Linked DNA regions of Drosophila melanogaster. The protein of the gene in region 1 interacts with the protein of each later gene in a pairwise test. Each region holds a gene or a part of one and is shown on either strand. Other genes may lie near its edges.

Region 1 (3,796 bases):
CCCCCTGCTCAGCCCTTATAATTTTCTTGGGCTTGTCTAAATTTGGCTCACAATACATTTCCGCTATTCGAAAAATTTTTAATAAAATCAAGTTGCACACTGCAAACACGGTTAATTAATTCAAGTAACATGAGTATTGTTTTAAAAAAAGTTTACCTGCTTTAAGTTCAAGGAAAAATATAATTGGGATGGGAAAGAAGATCATTAAAGGGCCTATTTCCTTTTATTCCTTTATACTCGGTATTCTTGTTTATAATTATACTTACAATTTGAAAATTAGGTGGCACTTTAAATATCAAATAATGACTTATTACTAAAACTAATTTAGGGTTTCTATTGGAAGAAATTAAGCCAATTGGTGTTCACCAGGATATCCTTTTAAGCTCAAATACATATAACAAAAAATTGAGAATTGGTAATTTTCATCTGCAACTACTTTAAAACTACAGCCAGGAAATTATCAATGTTCCGATTGTTTCTCCGATTTACAACATTTACCTTGATCTATTGCAATATCGAACGTTTTAGAAATATATTCACCTAGATCTGAACGTTCAAGAGCATTATTATGTGAATGGGATCTTTCTTTTTCCCATAATTTTAATAATAATAATAATAATTCATCGCGTTATTTGTTGGTACATCAAAACTGCACTGTGAGAGCACTAACATTTAGCACAAATGACTTAAATCTAGAAACTGTGCATAAAAAGGTTAGTAATATTTTTTTAATTGCTTACCGCAGTCCCATTTACGGAGTCTCATGAAACTCTCCGCAGACCATAATGTTTTTTCATTAAGATGCAATTAACTTCAAGGTTCAGTTATTTGCAAATCAATTACAGAAAATCGGTGGTTAACGGCTATTCCATTTTGTGATTTTGGTTACCGATCTATTTTCACTCTATTTAAATCTTCCATACAATTTATTTCGTAATAACGCAGAAGTCATACAGCAGTTTTGATTTAATTTTTGATGCCCTACATCACAGGAGATCCATTAAACAATTAACTTCAAACATATCTCAGCATTCATTCAATTCATTCATTCATTCAATTCTATGCAAATGTTCTTACAATTGGAAGGTAAATATTAATACATATTAAAGAACGAATCAAAGCGACTCGATTCACAATGGAGAATGAAATGAAATGGTATTTCTTCAGCTTCCGTGGTCAGCAAGTGCATTTGACTGCCCCCCGTGGGTACAAACGAGTATCCAATCTGCTGGGTGAGTGGTATTTTAATTGGGTTTCCAGGCACGCACCTCGGATTGCTGGGCACTTGATTTTACGAGCGGATCCCCGGCCGTCGATGCAGAAGAAGCCATCAAATAACTTTCAATTATGTGCGGCCCATTATGGCGCGTATTATGCGGGAAATCGTCGCAATGAGGAATTCCTACTCCTCCCACAAAGAGAACAGCGTGCCCATAAAACGTTCGCCTGACCCAATAGACTAGAGTATCGAAATAGAATCAGAGGCCAGAAGCACAGCTAGGGCCATACCTGCACAAAGGTGAAACTCAGGTGGTCAACTTGCGCTTTCCATGACTTTGACAACAAAGCGAAATGGTCGCTAAAGCTGGAGCCCAAAGCGGTGGGCAGAAAAAGAGCTCCGTGCGTACCTGGCATACGCAATTCAATTAGCAAAGTACCGTCGTATAAAAACCAAGCGGTTCCCATGCGACATTTGCATAACCCGCTGAGTGGCCAACGCGTGCGCACCACCAAACCACCTGACCACCGGACCATCGAACCAGAGTGAGAGTTGAGGACTAACCGTCGTCGAAAGGATGAAGAGCACCGCCGCTTGTCTGATAGTCGCCCTTGCGGCGCTGTCCACCGCCCACTCGGCGCCCACCGAAGGTCAGGTGGCGCCCCAGTCCGCCACGCAACTAGCCCTGGACATGTACCATGGCTGCCTTAAGGACCTCAGTGTTTCCTGCGTGCGTCCCAAGGCCCTGCAGTGGTTCAACTCTGCCCTCCGGCAGCCGGAGGTGCGCATCACCGAGCGCCTGTCGATTGTCCGTACCGCGGAGAAGGTCGAGTCCCGATCCATGAACCCGGAGGAGCGCCTCTTCGACGACATCGACAGCTATCTGGGCAGCCACTCGCTGAGGATCCAGGCTCCGGAGTACTTCCGCACCTCGGAAGCCCGCTCCCTGGTGCCCGACTTCCTCATGTCGAATCCGCTTACTCAGGGAGGATTAGTTCCCCTGGCAGCTGCTAACGAAGGTAAGAACTCAAGATCTAAGTCAGATAAAAAAGTAATGATGACGATCCAAAACGAGCTTACGTTTTTTCAAAATAACATTCAATTCGCAACACAGTGTCAGAAACAAGTGTTGATACTAATTATTGAAATGCCACTCTTGTGTTTAATAGAAATCGTTAAACTAATTTGAATATGACAAATGGCATTATCAAAAATTTCAAAAATGTTTAGGGTTTATGCAAATCAGCATACAAATATTTGGATTTTTACCACTTGTGATAAATCTAATCTGTATTTTTCCTACTTTTCCAGGACGTGGCATGATCCGCAAGGCAGTTCTGCCCTTCCTTCTGGGCCTGAAACTGAAGACCACTGTGCTGGTGCCACTGGCCTTGGGACTCATTGCCCTAAAGACCTGGAAGGCCATGACCTTGGGCCTGCTCTCATTGGTGCTGTCTGGAGCCTTGGTTATTTTCAAGATTGCCAAGCCCAAGATTGTCAACTACGAGGTGGTGCACTATCCCCATCACGTGGATCATGTGGTGCCGCATCACATTGAGCACGTGGTGCCCCACCACATCGAGCACGTGGTGCCCCACCACATCGAGCACATAGTGCCGCATCACATCGATCATCATCTGGAGCACCACATCGATCACCACGTGGATCTGCCCGTGGAGCACATCGAGCACCTGGAGCACCCATCGCCCGCCTGGGATCCTCATGCCTGGGCCCGATCCTCGCAAGAGCCGCAGGATGCCCAGGACTTGGCCTACGCGGGTCAGAAGTGAACATGGGTCTAGAGACCAAAACCCCCCTTACGAAATTCGGCCAAACTGTAACCTTATTTATTTCGTTCTAAGTTAAGTAGCTGAAACACACCGCTCTCGGCGTATTGTTTATTTATTTATTTATTGAGAAGTGTACAAAGCAAAGACCACAAAAAGAACCAAACCCCCAAGGCGTTTTAAAAAGGTACTAAGTGGGAATTAGCTCTGGTGTCCCTTTGTGTAAATATTACTGCAATAAAAACATGCAAAAACGATGTGCCTAATTGAAAACTTTTTTGGAAGTACCAACCCCTCAGCGAAGTGGCTAATTATCCCCAAAACTTTTCTAATGCGAGGAGTTTCACTTTGGGGGTCTGTTGAATTAACCCAGGAGATTCCGGCAAATGAAATGCCACAGAATAATGAGTGCAACTTCTGGCCAAAGTGCCTGATAAAAATGCCAATGAGCACTTTTAGAAAACTCTGCAGAGTAAGGGGAAGCCACAGAGGAATCCTTAATGAAATGCACACATTTTTATATGCCACGTGGAAAAAGATGCTTTGTCCTAGAAATACACTGCGAAAAGAAAGTGTTTCTTTCCTTATTATGTAGCTTTGAAACGTGTACTATGATCAAGATAAGGAATGGATTGCGTTTCCCCATCCTAACGATAGGCTGAACCTTTTCATTAAGTTTTATTATCTGTTTTGATAGAAATGGAAATCCATCTCATTTGTGGGAATGTAAGTATTTCATTTTCTTTACATACTTTCAGGGGATTGGATGCCTGTCGCCACGGGGTACAAA
Region 2 (6,698 bases), 470 kb from region 1:
AGCTGGACGAGGACGATGTCTCCCACATCGAAGTACCCTTCTTTGGTCGTGCTCCACCAAGGCGACACAACCAGCTGGGAAAGCTGCGCTCTGTCCACCAACAGGACGACGGAACCATTATGGCCATCTGTGCCACAGGCACCTCCACAAAGGACTCATTGCTCTCGTGGATTCGCCTGTTGGAAGCGAACGGAAATCCCTCCATAGGAGAGGTGCCCGTCCTCTTCCGGTTCACATCCGAAGTGCCAGCCAAGGCGGAGGAAATTGAAGGTGGCGCCAGTGTCCCGGCAACAAGTGATAACAGTAGTCAAGATGAGCACATTAGCAGTAGACAGAAATAAACAAATTGTTGAGCACTTTTTCGTCTTTGTATACCATAGAATTGATGGTAAATGTTGCTTAAAGTTAGTCGGTTTTGATCATATGTACATATATATGTACATCTGCTAGAAGGAAAAAAATTAATACTTCGGTAATTATTTATACTCTTTGGCTCGGACGCGAATTGAAAGCAACATTGTATGCATTTTGGGGTGGATTTTAATGAAATAAGGTTAATTGAGAAGGATTACTCACAACATCCGATTGTGAGCCGAGCTTAAACGAAAAATCACAGAACCCGAAACTAAGTGTACAGAAGATCTGCCTAAGATTTAACGCCTCCCTCTAATTGCTAATTAAGTATATGTACATGTCATCTTTGTTTGAGATATATAGATATGTCATTGGAACTATCCATCTGGCCCGCTTCTCTACTTTATGCCTGTCTTGTTGACCGGAAACACCTGCGTGACAACTCCGATTCCTTTGCTGGTGCCCTCGCGGAACAGGATGCGCATTCCAGGACGCACGTACTCCGGGTGGCCGACGAACTCGAACATCACCGAAGCACAATCGTTTGTGCCCAGTCGCTCGCCGCCCATAATGCCCCGAATGACGGCCGTCTGGCGAATGCTGCCTATGTGGACTGTGGTTTGGAAGCCGACATAGATGGCCGTGGCGTGGAACAGCACGGACACCTTGGCCTGCAAAGGGAAGTTGATGTATTTATTTGGTAACGATAAATGAAAACTAGCAACTCACTTGGAAGAAGAAGGTCCCGTAGGGCTCATCCAGACTATTTCCAATATCACCCAAAAGAACCATGCCACTTCGTAGCGTGGGCACATCCTGATCCATACTGAAAGACAGCGAAGCGCTCTGACCAGCTCGGACAACTCGGCAAGGAGCCTTGTTTCGGTGGATAGTATTAACAGTAACGGGATGAAAGCTACCATCGGGAAGCGGACCAATCTTCATTGCCATATTCTCGGTCAGCACGCCCTGGACAAGTAGACCGCCCACAACGGGTCCGACGTCAGAGACCCGGAAGATCTCGTCCACCTGGAACTCGCAAGACTCCTGCTCGAGTCGATCCTTCTCGGCGTTGCTGATTCCGGGCGAAAGGACGTACAGAAACTTTGTGACTAGGTTGAGTCCCGTGCCGGTCACATTCGATACGCAAAAGATGGGCACAATGTTCTCGGAGATCTGGTTTGACCCGGCGGAGATGGCCTCATCCGTGTTGGTCACCACAAAGGGAACCTTCCGGCACCCAATGGTGGTGAGCAGGTTGCACAACTCCTGTACCGTCGCGTCCGGCGATGTGATATCTGTCTTCGTGACCAATACAAAGAAGGGCATGTCCAGTGCCCGCACGATAGCCAAGTGCTCCTCGGTGGTGTCGTTGCAACCGCTGCCCGCCGATACCACCAGCATGGCGTAGTGGGGTGAGTATCCACTCAGTGCCTGCACGGTGGTGCGCATGTAGCGTCGGTGTCCGGCTAGATCCATGAAGGTAACCAGCTTGCTGGACCTGTCGCTAATCTCCTCTGCCGTCATCATCTCATTGTACTTGTAGTTGACCACATTACCCAGTGCATCGAAGCCAAGCGTCTCGTGGGAGATGCAGGAGGTGCGGCCTTAAGGAAAAGAGGAGCAAATTGGTAATTTTCAAGCAAACAAACCGGACTTTGTGAGTGATAAATATAATTTAAAAAAAAGTTTGTAAACGAGAGATGTATGAATAATGTAGTACAACTGATATATTCCTTATTGATGACAATTTAAAATGGATGCCAAACATCTTAATTTAATTTATATCTGTGTTTAGTGCTTATAACGACATATTACCAGACTGAATCTCGTGCATGTGCCTAAACATATTGAGCCGCGCCCGGCCGTGTCCGTTATCCAGCTCGTCCTGTGTAAGCACGCCCAGCAAAGTGGATTTGCCTGCATCAGCTCCGCCGAGCACCGCCACCCGAACCTCGATGTTGTGCTGGTCGTCGGGGATCTTACGGACCAGTACCTCGGCGACGGCGCGTCGGGCGGCGATGGTCTTTCGCCGCAGCACTGAGGTACTGGCTCCTAGGCTGTGGGCCATCTGCTTGAGCGTGGTGAGCGAGGCATTCATGTCCTTGTCGCTGAGTCCCTGCAGATAGCCGGCGTCGGATACTCCAATCTCGTAGATGGCCTCGCCGTTTCCCTCGCGCAGACGCCACTTCATCTGGGTCACCAGGTGCTCGAATCGCTGCTTCGACGGGTTGACCAGCTTCAGCTTGTACTCCACATTTCCGAGCTGCGGCTCTGGTGGCAGCATTCCCTGCTCGAAGTCGAAGATCAGGTTGCCCCGCTCGGTGGGCATCCCGCTCACTACGCTGCACTCGTTGGCATTGGCGTCCGTCTCATAGTCGCTGCTGCTGCTTCCGCCGCCGCTGCTGTTGCCATTGAGCTCGGGCTCTTCCTCGAAGCCGTCGTCCTGATTGGGATCAAAGAGACTCAGGAAGGACTCCATAATGTGTTGCTGCAAAAGGGAAGCGTGGATCATATAAATACAAAATTCAGATGAGGTAAATGGTAAAAATTCTGTTTAGACAAAGGAACTCTTTGTCTTGAGAAGAAAACATTTTTTGGGCCAATTGCGACATCGAAAATGTACATATGTACATACTTATGTACATACATACAGATTTTCGAACAGCCGTGGCTGAAATAATAGCAATGAGATACATGCATAAGTAAATATTATTTGATTTGTTTACTCATACTGTACTGTATTTAGTCTGAGAATTACCCAATATAATTGGGTTGAAATAACTTTTAATATTGTACTAAAGTTTTTTTAATTTTATTTCGACACCACGTCATTTGTTTCACTTTAAAAACAATTATTTTTCAACTTCTATGTATCTTTTTGATGGAACCGTTTGCTTATGTGTATCCATCAAAACTGAAATTTTCCCCATTTGTTTTTTTGGCCGTCTTTGACTTGCAGCGACCTTGAAAATGCTTGTTTATGTTTGCCACGACTCTGGCCGTTGTTTCGAGCCCACGCGCGGGGGCAGGTGGAACAGAAGGTCGATAATACGACAAGTTCCAAACATCTTACCAGATAATCCCTATATTTGGCTCACTAATCAAACCAATCCGCTCGAGTTTATTCGAGATATTAAGCGCTAAAGCAGCTCCTATTTGCGCGCGACGCTGGCACAAAATATCGATTTTGGCTGCGCTTTTCATTTGCCCAGGTCGAATTTGTTGTTCGTTCGGCTATCTGGGTTCTGAGTGCTGTGCTTTGTAGTTGTAGTTCGTAGTTGTGTGCGTACTTGTGCTCTCCGCTTTTGGGTGCCTTTCGATTTTGTTTATAACCTGCTCCCGATTGTTTTGCTTTGTTGACCGAAGAACAAGCACCTGAATACTTCAAAAGCTTTCGCAATACCTTACCCTAGGGCGTTTGAGTTCTTTCATGGAACGTATTTTTTGTTTAGCAAGTGGGGGTTGAGCTTAAAAAAATTAACTTAGTGAATTTCCACAAGAAGAAAGTTACCTAAATATTTAATGCGGGATGTTATTACGAACCTATTTAATTACTAAAGCTAACGATAAATGGTAAATTTATAGGTTTTAATTCTAATTACTTTATTTTTGCAATTAGAAGGCAGGATATACAATGTTTAATTACGTCACACGCCATTACGTCCTTCGACACTGGAACTATAAAAGTTAACTTTTTCACGATTTTGATGCGAAGCCGCGACGTTTGATAATTTTATTCAACAATTAATGCTTGGCTTTCCACAATTCAAACACACCTCTTTAGTTCTACGATTGTTGTTCAAATAAGGAAACTTAGTTTAAAAACGAACCTTCTTAATTGTGAGATAACTCCCACACAATTAAATTATTACGTTTTATGTAGATACGCAATCTGTGTTGCGTAGCGGATTTCTGATCGACCAGACCCTTTCCTTTTTCGGCGCGTAGTTTTGACAGCTTTTCGCGTCTTGTCCTCGCCGCGTTTGCTTCGCATTTGATTTTCTACACAAGCGCTTTTGTTTTGACCGCGTCAGCTGCGTTATTATTCTCTATCTCTATCTCGAAATTGATTGAGGACGCTTCGCGGAAAGCTCCTTTCCGTTTGAATTCCGGGAAGTAACTGTCGCGTTTACCGAATTCATGCAACCAACAAACAAAAGCTTGGCAAGCATAGAGCGGAATTTCACAAGAAACAAAAATCGCGCTGCGATTTCATCAGCAAAACAAAAATGGAGTCAATGTGCTGCACTTACGCAGTTGCTGATGCAATACTGCGCCACAATGCGCGGATCTTCAATGGTCTCTGTGTGGGTGTTGCTGTTCGTGTTCGATTCACGTTGCCATGGCAATTTTGCACTCATGTGGGTTAAGCACTCACAACACACTTCAAATTTCGGGGACGCCAAAGTTGCGCCAGCAATCCAATCAATTATTATAAACCATAAACTTCCTACATTTTGTGACTCCGACAAACAGATGTTTATGCTCGCCACGCGTTAGTCCCTTTTGGACACTGACCTATCCAGTTGCTGCGCACCCTTACCAACACTGGCTGACGGGGCGTCCATTGTGAACGGCACACATTTTTCAAATTTAAATAGTAACGTATTTTTAACAATAAATGGGGTTGCGAAGGCGGTCATCTGCATGTCCTACATTTCCATACTTTACTTTAGTACTTTAGTGTTGAGAATTCGTTTTGGTAAATTTTACTCAAATAAGTTTATTAGCCAGCATAGAACTTAATTCCAATCTCGATGGAGCTATCTTGCAAGCTCAAAAACATCTGCTTTGCTACAAAATAATTTTGTATTGGTATCAAAAAATCATTCAAATGAGTGAAGATATGGTAACGTTTTTAGATTGCTAAAAAAAGAATTTAGGAAACCTTGTGCCTCCCAGCAATGAAAATACAACTCGAATTGCTTTAATTCAAACTCAATGTATTCTCATTAATATATTTACGTTTTATTCCTTATCATTAACATTATTACTTTATCACAAATATTTTAAGCATTTTTACATATGTAGTCAGTTACAATGATGTGTATATGTATGTATGTCTGTCTGTTTTCGGGACTTGGGCTTGCATGTATGTATGTACATCGTTGACCTCTCTGAGGCTCATAAAATAGTATCTGCTGACCTCGACATGGATCATGGGGATGTCGTGATGCTACAGGTTGTTGGGGATCGTTTTAAAATTGCACTACTGGCACTCGATTTTGGTTATCTACAGCGGGGACCTTTACTATATATGTATAAACTTGGAGGAAGTTTACGATTTGCTCTACCAGTTACCTGGATGCTATAACTTTTACATTTAAACATTATGACATTACATTGATTTTACTAATCGCTATCGATGACTTAGCATATACATTTCTTTTTTTCAATTACGTTTTTTCGATAGAAAGTCAAGAACTGAATCGCCCAACTGATATGACAAACGTTAGAACACTTATAGTCGTTTAGCCCTTGTCTTGAGTATGATATAGTCGTATAGCATTTCCGATGTGCTAATGCCTTGATAACAATTGCCAATGAAAGGGGGATGATAGGGTGGTGGGGGGGTGGGGGCTACGCTCCCCTCTTGAACTGCCCCAATCCTGCGAGCTGGGCCGACCCATTCAATATCCAATAAATAATGCTCAAGAATACATTCGTTGTGTATGTGTGTGTGTGTGTGCGTGCTCAGGTCCAACTGGTTGGCGTTCGTCAATGAGGTGTCTGTCTGTCGGAATTGGCCGGAATCGGGCCCATCAAATGGCCATCTGGAAGTGGAACTCCGTGCCTTTTATCCCTCTTATCGCTCGACCCGCATAAATCATTTTATTAGCTTATTAAAAAGTTTTCCATTTATTGTCATCGTTTTGCGCTATCGTGCGCACAAATCCGTGCCCAGTTCTATATACCCATTCATTTGGGATGGGGTACTCCGGATTGGTGATTCGGCCGGCAGCATGGATTGGGATATTTTTCTAAACTTTTCTTTATTGCTCACTTGTTGGCTGGCCCCGCTGCTAATGCCAGTGGAGCCGGAGCGGTAGCGGGAGCGGGAGCAACTGCTGTGACCATTAAATTCAAATCTGGTGCTGTTTTTGGCGCGTGTTTAAAAGTTAAATAATGACCAGCACTGGGCACGCAATGGCGCAAGACGTGTCCAATATAACTTTGCCTTTTTTCGGGTCGGCCCGACTTTGATCTCGTTTGCGGGAGGGCAGTTCAAATAGTGCGTCTGCGGCAGGAGGGGCTATGTTTTCCGGGGGATGTGTTCTTCTCACTTTAGCCGGGACAAACAGATTCAACAACGAGTTTCGAGTTGGAGAGCCCTGCTCCCA
Region 3 (3,381 bases), on another chromosome or scaffold:
CTGCTGCGCAGCGTCAACCACATCGTAGAGAAGCGCACCCACTACGAACAGAACGGAGAACTGGCCGGCCAGGTCACGCTCGATGGCAAGGAGCTGGCGCTGAAAATGGTGGGCTTCCGGGACCACAGCTTCGGCACCGAGCGCTGCCTAAGCTCCATCAACCGGTACGTGTACTTTGCCCTCTTTATGGACGATGGCAGCAGCATGGTGGTGGGCAGCCTCAGTCAGCCGTCCTTCTTCCTGTCCTCCCTGAAGGTGGGCTACGTGTGCAGCCCCGAGCGGCAGTATCAGCCGCTGACCGGGAGCAACTTCGAGCTGTACTCGTACGGCGAAAAGGGAACGCCGCCGCAGCACCAGAATTTCATTGTGCGCACCGAGGAGCGGGAGTACCTCGTGCAAATCCAGGTGGAGGCCTCCGCGCTGCGCTACGTCGGCGGCGACTGGGAGTCTAAGGTGTTCAACCAGTTTGTGGCCTGCACGGTCAACGGAGTTCCCGGCCAGGGCCACGCCGAGTTCCTGTACCGCCACAAGGGCGGCAGGCCGGAGGATATATCGTCCGGGGACCCCGGCTGGTACCAGGACATCAAGCGCTTCGAGAGAAGCCTCTCGTTGCTGGAAGAGGAGGGCCAGGACGAAGACTTCATCTTCTAGGACGCCGACGAATTGTTTTTGTTTTCAGTTTAAGATAGCATGTAAAAGTATGGGGGAGACCCATCCTATCAAAATAAAGAGATTTTGTTTGAATGACATTCGAGATTCTGAAGTCATTGGCCGCGCTGATGTCATCGGTAAGTCCAAACTAATTCAGTTAACCAACAATCCAACAGCAATATCCACTGGAGGCCATCCGGTGCAGCTGCAATCTGGTGGACTCGGGTCGATGAGGAAGATTACCGAATCGCTGGTGGAGGAATTGGACCCCCCGTGAGGATTAGTCGCCCATAAATTAGCATGCGACAGACGAACGGATTAGATTGGACAGCTACTTCGGTTTTTCTCCCAATAAATAATGGCGATTCGGGCCATCGGTTTATGGCACCCAAAAGACAACGGGCCCCACTTATCGCTCCGTCGGGCCAATAAAACCCAAGACCAGGCACCAAGACTGGGCCCAAGTGCCCAGGTGTCGCAGATAAGAGGCGAGCGGCGGGGCAGATAGCTTCAATCCAACAAAATAAACCATGCTCGGGATCTGAATGGAGCATTATGCTGCCGTCCGGTTCCGACCTGCCGCAATGTCAGCTTATGGTGGGCCGATAAGTGCCGGGCATGACCCTCCCTTCAGTGTCCAGTCCACAGCCCATATCTGGGCTCATGAGCAGGTAGCTCCGATAACGCAACCGCCGACAGATATTGGCCACCGATTTGCCCGGAATTCGGCAAATCATGCACTGTTTCTGGAATTCGCCTTCATTAATTATGCACGTAACTCTGAAGTGGTATTCCTCGTAGGCGAAATTATTTGTTAGATTACGCAGTTATTGTAATCAAAAATGCGATTGCTTCTGGGCAAATCCAAGGAATCATCAGCCGAATTTTCGTTCCCAGTAGTAGGCCGGTTTCTGTGGAAATCAAGGAACAGCTTTGATCTAGCATAGTAGTTTCCAAGTGCCCAGTCGCAGAGCTGGAATATACTTGTAGATTTATATACATATATGTTGCCAAATTTCGAAGTTATTGCACCGAATTGCACAATGATTGGGATGGCTGACAGCGCGGAGGGGGTTACCCAGGAAGACAGCCACACGGAGTCGAGGGCAGACGGCATCAGCGGGTCCTTGCGCTCCCTGGGCACATATACCCAGGAGTCCACAGAGCCGGCTTTGAGTCCGGCGGACCTTCCCGCCCGCAGCCGGAAGGCCTTTCTGCGGCACATGATCGGCCAGCTGGCGGAGCCCGTGCAGAACCGCATACGGGCACTGCGGCACAATCAGCTGCAACAGGTACGCATTTCGGAGCAGTTCTTCCGGGAAGTCTACGAGCTGGAGCGACGTTTCTACGGCCAGAGCTGCGCGCTCTTCGATGCGAGGCGGGATATTTTGGAGGGTTCGGTGGAGCCACCGATCCAAACGGAGAAGACCTGGCCCGAGGACCCGCAGGATGCTCTGTACCTGGACTTCGGGAACAACGAGGAGCTGCGACAGCTGAGGCAAAAACTGGCTCCGGTTTCGCCGACTACGCTGGGTGTTCCACGCTTTTGGCTGACAGTTTTCCAGAACGTGCCCCTGCTCTCGGAGTTGGTCCAGGATCACGACGAGCCGCTTCTGGAGAGCCTAATGGATGTGCGCCTGGCTTACGACCAGGACAGCTACATGGTCATCTTTCAGTTTCGGCCCAATAGCTTCCTGCACGATTCCTCGCTGCTGCTCACGAAGCGCTACTTTCTGCAGCACTCGGCGGACCCGGAGTATCCCTTTCTGTTCGAAGGGCCCGAAATAGTTCGTTGCGAAGGCTGCCACATCCACTGGCGCGATGGCTCCAATCTCACTCTCCAAACGGTGGAAAGCAGGCGAAGGAACAGAGCACACCGAGTCACCAAGGTCATGCCTCGGGAGTCCTTCTTTCGCTTCTTTGCTCCGCCGCAGGCCTTGGACCTGTCGCTCGCGGATGAAAAGACCAAGCTGATCCTTGGCAACGATTTCGAAGTGGGCTTCCTGCTACGCACCCAAATCGTCCCGAAGGCGGTGCTCTTTTACACGGGCGACCTAGTTGACAGCCTGAGCGCGGCCTCTCCGGACAGTCGCTCCTTGTCCTCGGAGGCGGAACAGGAGCAGGTCTTGTGAGTGCGACGCGACTAGCTGTTTGCTAAACAAAATTTACAAGTGAATGTGGTAATGATTTCTTATTAAATTCTACAGTTCGGCCAAAGCCAGTTCATCACAAATAAGGTGAACCCCTTCCCCTCCTAGCGCTACTTAAAAATGCTGGTGTAGTACTCCTCCTCCAGGTCGTACAAGTCCATGGCCATTTCGTCCCTAAGTTTCATCAGCTTCTTGTCGCACTCGCTCTGTGTGTTCCTGAACAGCTGCGAATTGTTTGTGATGGCCTCGTTGACCGAGTGAAAGTCGTTGAGGATTAGGTACTGTTTTAGGTCGGCCACCAGCTTCATCAGAGACTCGCCGGCACGGACTATAAAGCGGAATGCATGAAGGAAATGGCTCGAATCTGGTTCCCAGGGAGTGGATTTACTCACCCATGTTGGCCGCGCGGACCTGCATTTCCAGGGCATCCTGTTCGCACTGCGTGGTCTTCGAAATCTGGCTGTGGCTCTCACGGCGCGCCAGCTTGAGTATTTCTGGAGGAGAACACGGTATTACAATCTATTGCTCGGAGCAACTGAGCCGCACTTACCTTCAAAATTCTCCAGCATGCTGCGAACGT
Region 4 (3,168 bases), on another chromosome or scaffold:
CGGATCGGATCGGATCGGGTTCGTGGAGATCGTAGGAAGGGAGAGATCGGAGCGGAGCGGACGCGGACTGGCGGTCGACCTCAGTCGGAGCTGGTCAAGTGAGTGCTTTGTGAAAGTCGTTCTTGCAAAACTTCGGCTTAATTGCCGCCTTTGGGAGACCGGCCCAAGGTCAAGTGCAACTGCAAATTACAGTCTTGCAGTGGGATTAACTAATGGAGCAATGATCCAATCGAACCTATCACATTCCCGACCAATTCACCTGAAATATGCGTGCAATCATTGCTTTATTTATAATCAATATAGCATTGCCCCATTTTTTTTGCTCTTTTTTGGCAGTGTGTGAAAAAAGTGCAACTCACGAAAGTAATTTTACAAACAAATGTAATGGGAAGTGATTATGGGAAACTTATTGCATGAAAAGGAATATTCGAATTCTTGGAATCCAAAACGATTGAACCAAATGAGATGAGATATAGTTATTTCGGTACTCTACGATGATTATTCCACTTAAAATGCAGATCGATTTGTAAAAATTCAAGTACTTTATTGCTACAATCACAGTACAATTTATTACTTGGCAATGGATCACATTCAGATGAAGAGAGGTCCTCCTAAGGCGGCGTAAAAAGAGTACGCCACTAGCCAGGAATAAAGGCAAATAACTGAAGCAATGGGGAAAAATTAAGGGATTGTGAAATCTTAGATACACTTAGCTACTTACAGAACATTATAGCATACGTGATCATTACCCAGAAACAAACGGCGAGTATGACGTCGGATACTATCAATATGAGCATTGCTACCGCCATGATCATAGTCATTATTATGTAGAAGAGCATCCAGCTGCTCCGTAACTAGATCAAATCATAAGTATTATAATTTGAAACTAATCAATTGTACTGGTATCTCACCCGTATACTGCCGATGATCAGGAAAACGCAGCTCAGGATGTGCAGCATAACGAAGATAATGAATAGGGTGTGACCCAAATCGGGAATACCTATGGGTGTTAGGATCATATCCTTGCTCTCAAGTATCCTGCTTCACTTACCCGACTCCCCAAATAAAGCAACAAATGTGCCTCCAAGGATATCCGCTATAATGTGCAAAATCCCTATTGCTATGGTTCCGATTCGCAGATCCACGCAGCAGCAGCAACTCTGTAGATATATCATGGTGCAAATGTGGTAGTGTGTCTATTTGTGGCTATTTGCTATCAGGGTATTAGTATTTGAGTATCTGAGTATATGGGGTTTTTATTTTATGTGTACAAGTTCTGTCACTGATAACAAAAATCTTTTGAAAAATATTACTTAACAAGTAGGTTATATTCTACCATCTTATATAGTATATAAATATAGAGATAAGCAAGTTTCGAGTCTTCAAAAGTAACCATCTATCCTAATCGCAACAACTTAAAAAGCCTCAAATAACAAAATCGTTATTTCATTCCCATTAAAAGTATTTGGTTTATTAGATTACTTGTGAGCCATCAAACACTAAGGTTCCACTTCAGGGAATCCTGCCATAAATACGCCAGGATTGTTCTGTGTACAGTCGAATTGTGATTTATTTACATTCATTAACTTAGCATTGTACAGTATTTACAGGCTGCTTCAGATGGGACTGGCTGAGTGGGTGGGTTTGAAGACAAGCAGGCCAGCGGGCAGATGGCTTACAGCCAGCCGTGTCCGTGGTGGGAGCTCCAGCCGTGGTGGTCGTGGTGGTCATCGAAGACATGGTGCACCGGGATCTCCTCGTGATGGACGTGGTGCACCGGCACGGGGATCTCCTCGTGGTGGACGTGGTGCACGGGCACCTCCTTGTAAATGGGCACCGGCACGTGCTTCACCACCGGCACATGGACCTTCTGAACGTGATGGTGGTGCACCGTGTGCACCTTGTAGGGCACGTGGATGGTGTGGTGCTCGCTGCGGATCGAAAGTGAAATCGGTTAGATCGAATGCCATGTACCATCGCCTGTTAGCTAATCAGTTGCTTGAACCCAGCGTCTTGGCAGACATGGCTATTGCATATTGGCTATTGGCAATTGGCAATTGATTCGCACAATTATGCGCGCATTACGCTGAATTAAATGCCAACCGCCGCCTGCGAAATTCCTAAGCCGCGAGCCAAGCCAAGTCGAGATCGGCTAAGTTCAATGGTAGCCAGTGGTGGGCACCATATAGAGACTGCTGGAGGGGGCTGGGGCTCTAAGTGCTACAAGCGTTTTGATTGCTCAATTCGATCGCAATCGGACACATATTTCATAGACCCACGGAGCAGTCGCAGCGTTTAAAAAGCCATGCGACCGCTCGTTAGCTTAGCATAAAGCGGGAAATGGGTATTTTTATCGATTCGCTCGGGTTATTTATGGATCAGTTCAGGTGCAGATCGCCGCCGATACTCACTGTTTGCCAAAGAAGCCGGGACTGGGTGCGCAGTAGGCCACGGCGAAGAGGGCGACGAAGATCTGAAAGGGGATAAGGAAGTTAGTAAGTTAGGTCCGGCTAGATTAACGCAAATAGCTAACTAATCAGTGTGATTAGTTTTAATTTGGCACTTCAAAATTTATGTTCAATTCTGGTGAAATCTAAGTAATCTAATGAAATGTTAGTCCGCGATTGATAAACATAAACTAATATTTTTGGGTGAATTTATATTTCTGCAAAATAAATGCTTTCGCAGTTTCTTGAAATATCTATTCGAGACTTTTTAAGCCATCAGGCGATCTTGGTGGTATATTTCCAATACTTCGGTTATCGAAGTCAGTTTTCAGTGAGTTTGTTATGTTTCAGTTGGTTAGTTTTATTCACGATAGTCCACATGAGTTTAATCCTTTTCAGCTCCATTCCGCGGAGGTTTGGCTTAACACTTTTTCGAACGTTATCCTTGTCGCACTTACGAATACTTTCAGGACGGACATGGTGGCTGGGCTGAGCTCTGCTGCACTCGAAAGGCGATACTAAAACCGGAGCACTGTCAGGTGGTGACTGATAACCACAGGCTGCGACTCATCCGTTTTATACCGGGCGCCAGCAGCGCTTTGTGTTGTTGCTGCAAGCCGACTGCGCTGCACGAGAAAGACGTGACGTCGGTGCAGCAACAACAGCAGCAGCAGCAGCAGCAACAACAGCAGCAGCAACTTCAACGGCCAAGCGAAAATAA

Evidence for each region.
Region 2: the proteins of Osi18 (region 1) and CG2017 interact in a two-hybrid assay, tested with the Drosophila melanogaster proteins (one large-scale study listed by BioGRID).
Region 3: the proteins of Osi18 (region 1) and CG3708 interact in a two-hybrid assay, tested with the Drosophila melanogaster proteins (one large-scale study listed by BioGRID).
Region 4: the proteins of Osi18 (region 1) and CG43183 interact in a two-hybrid assay, tested with the Drosophila melanogaster proteins (one large-scale study listed by BioGRID).

The regions. Positions count from the first base shown.
Region 1 is NT_033777.3:6,328,555-6,332,350, forward strand, and holds Osi18 (osiris 18), read left to right. Parts: upstream 1-1,693; 5' UTR 1,694-1,796; coding exon 1,797-2,238; intron 2,239-2,530; coding exon 2,531-3,009; 3' UTR 3,010-3,255; downstream 3,256-3,796.
Region 2 is NT_033777.3:5,857,560-5,864,257, forward strand, and holds CG2017 (uncharacterized protein), read right to left. Parts: upstream 4,847-6,698; 5' UTR 4,719-4,846; coding exon 4,611-4,718; intron 4,344-4,610; exon of another isoform or gene 4,188-4,343; intron 3,746-4,187; exon of another isoform or gene 3,431-3,745; intron 2,846-3,430; coding exon 2,173-2,845; intron 1,962-2,172; coding exon 1,084-1,961; exon of another isoform or gene 1,026-1,083; coding exon 753-1,025; 3' UTR 524-752; downstream 1-523. Other genes in the region: ECSIT, read left to right, coding at 1-341.
Region 3 is NC_004354.4:928,298-931,678, reverse strand, and holds CG3708 (uncharacterized protein), read left to right. Parts: upstream 1-1,580; 5' UTR 1,581-1,694; coding exon 1,695-2,783; 3' UTR 2,784-2,881; downstream 2,882-3,381. Other genes in the region: CG3706 (uncharacterized protein), read left to right, coding at 1-651; MED22 (mediator complex subunit 22), read right to left, coding at 2,912-3,129, 3,194-3,295, 3,352-3,381.
Region 4 is NT_033778.4:8,590,328-8,593,495, reverse strand, and holds CG43183 (uncharacterized protein), read right to left. Parts: upstream 1,302-3,168; 5' UTR 1,176-1,301; coding exon 1,052-1,175; intron 1,001-1,051; coding exon 912-1,000; intron 855-911; coding exon 722-854; intron 663-721; coding exon 592-662; 3' UTR 527-591; downstream 1-526. Other genes in the region: CG14752 (uncharacterized protein), read right to left, coding at 1,676-1,931, 2,412-2,473, 2,906-2,926.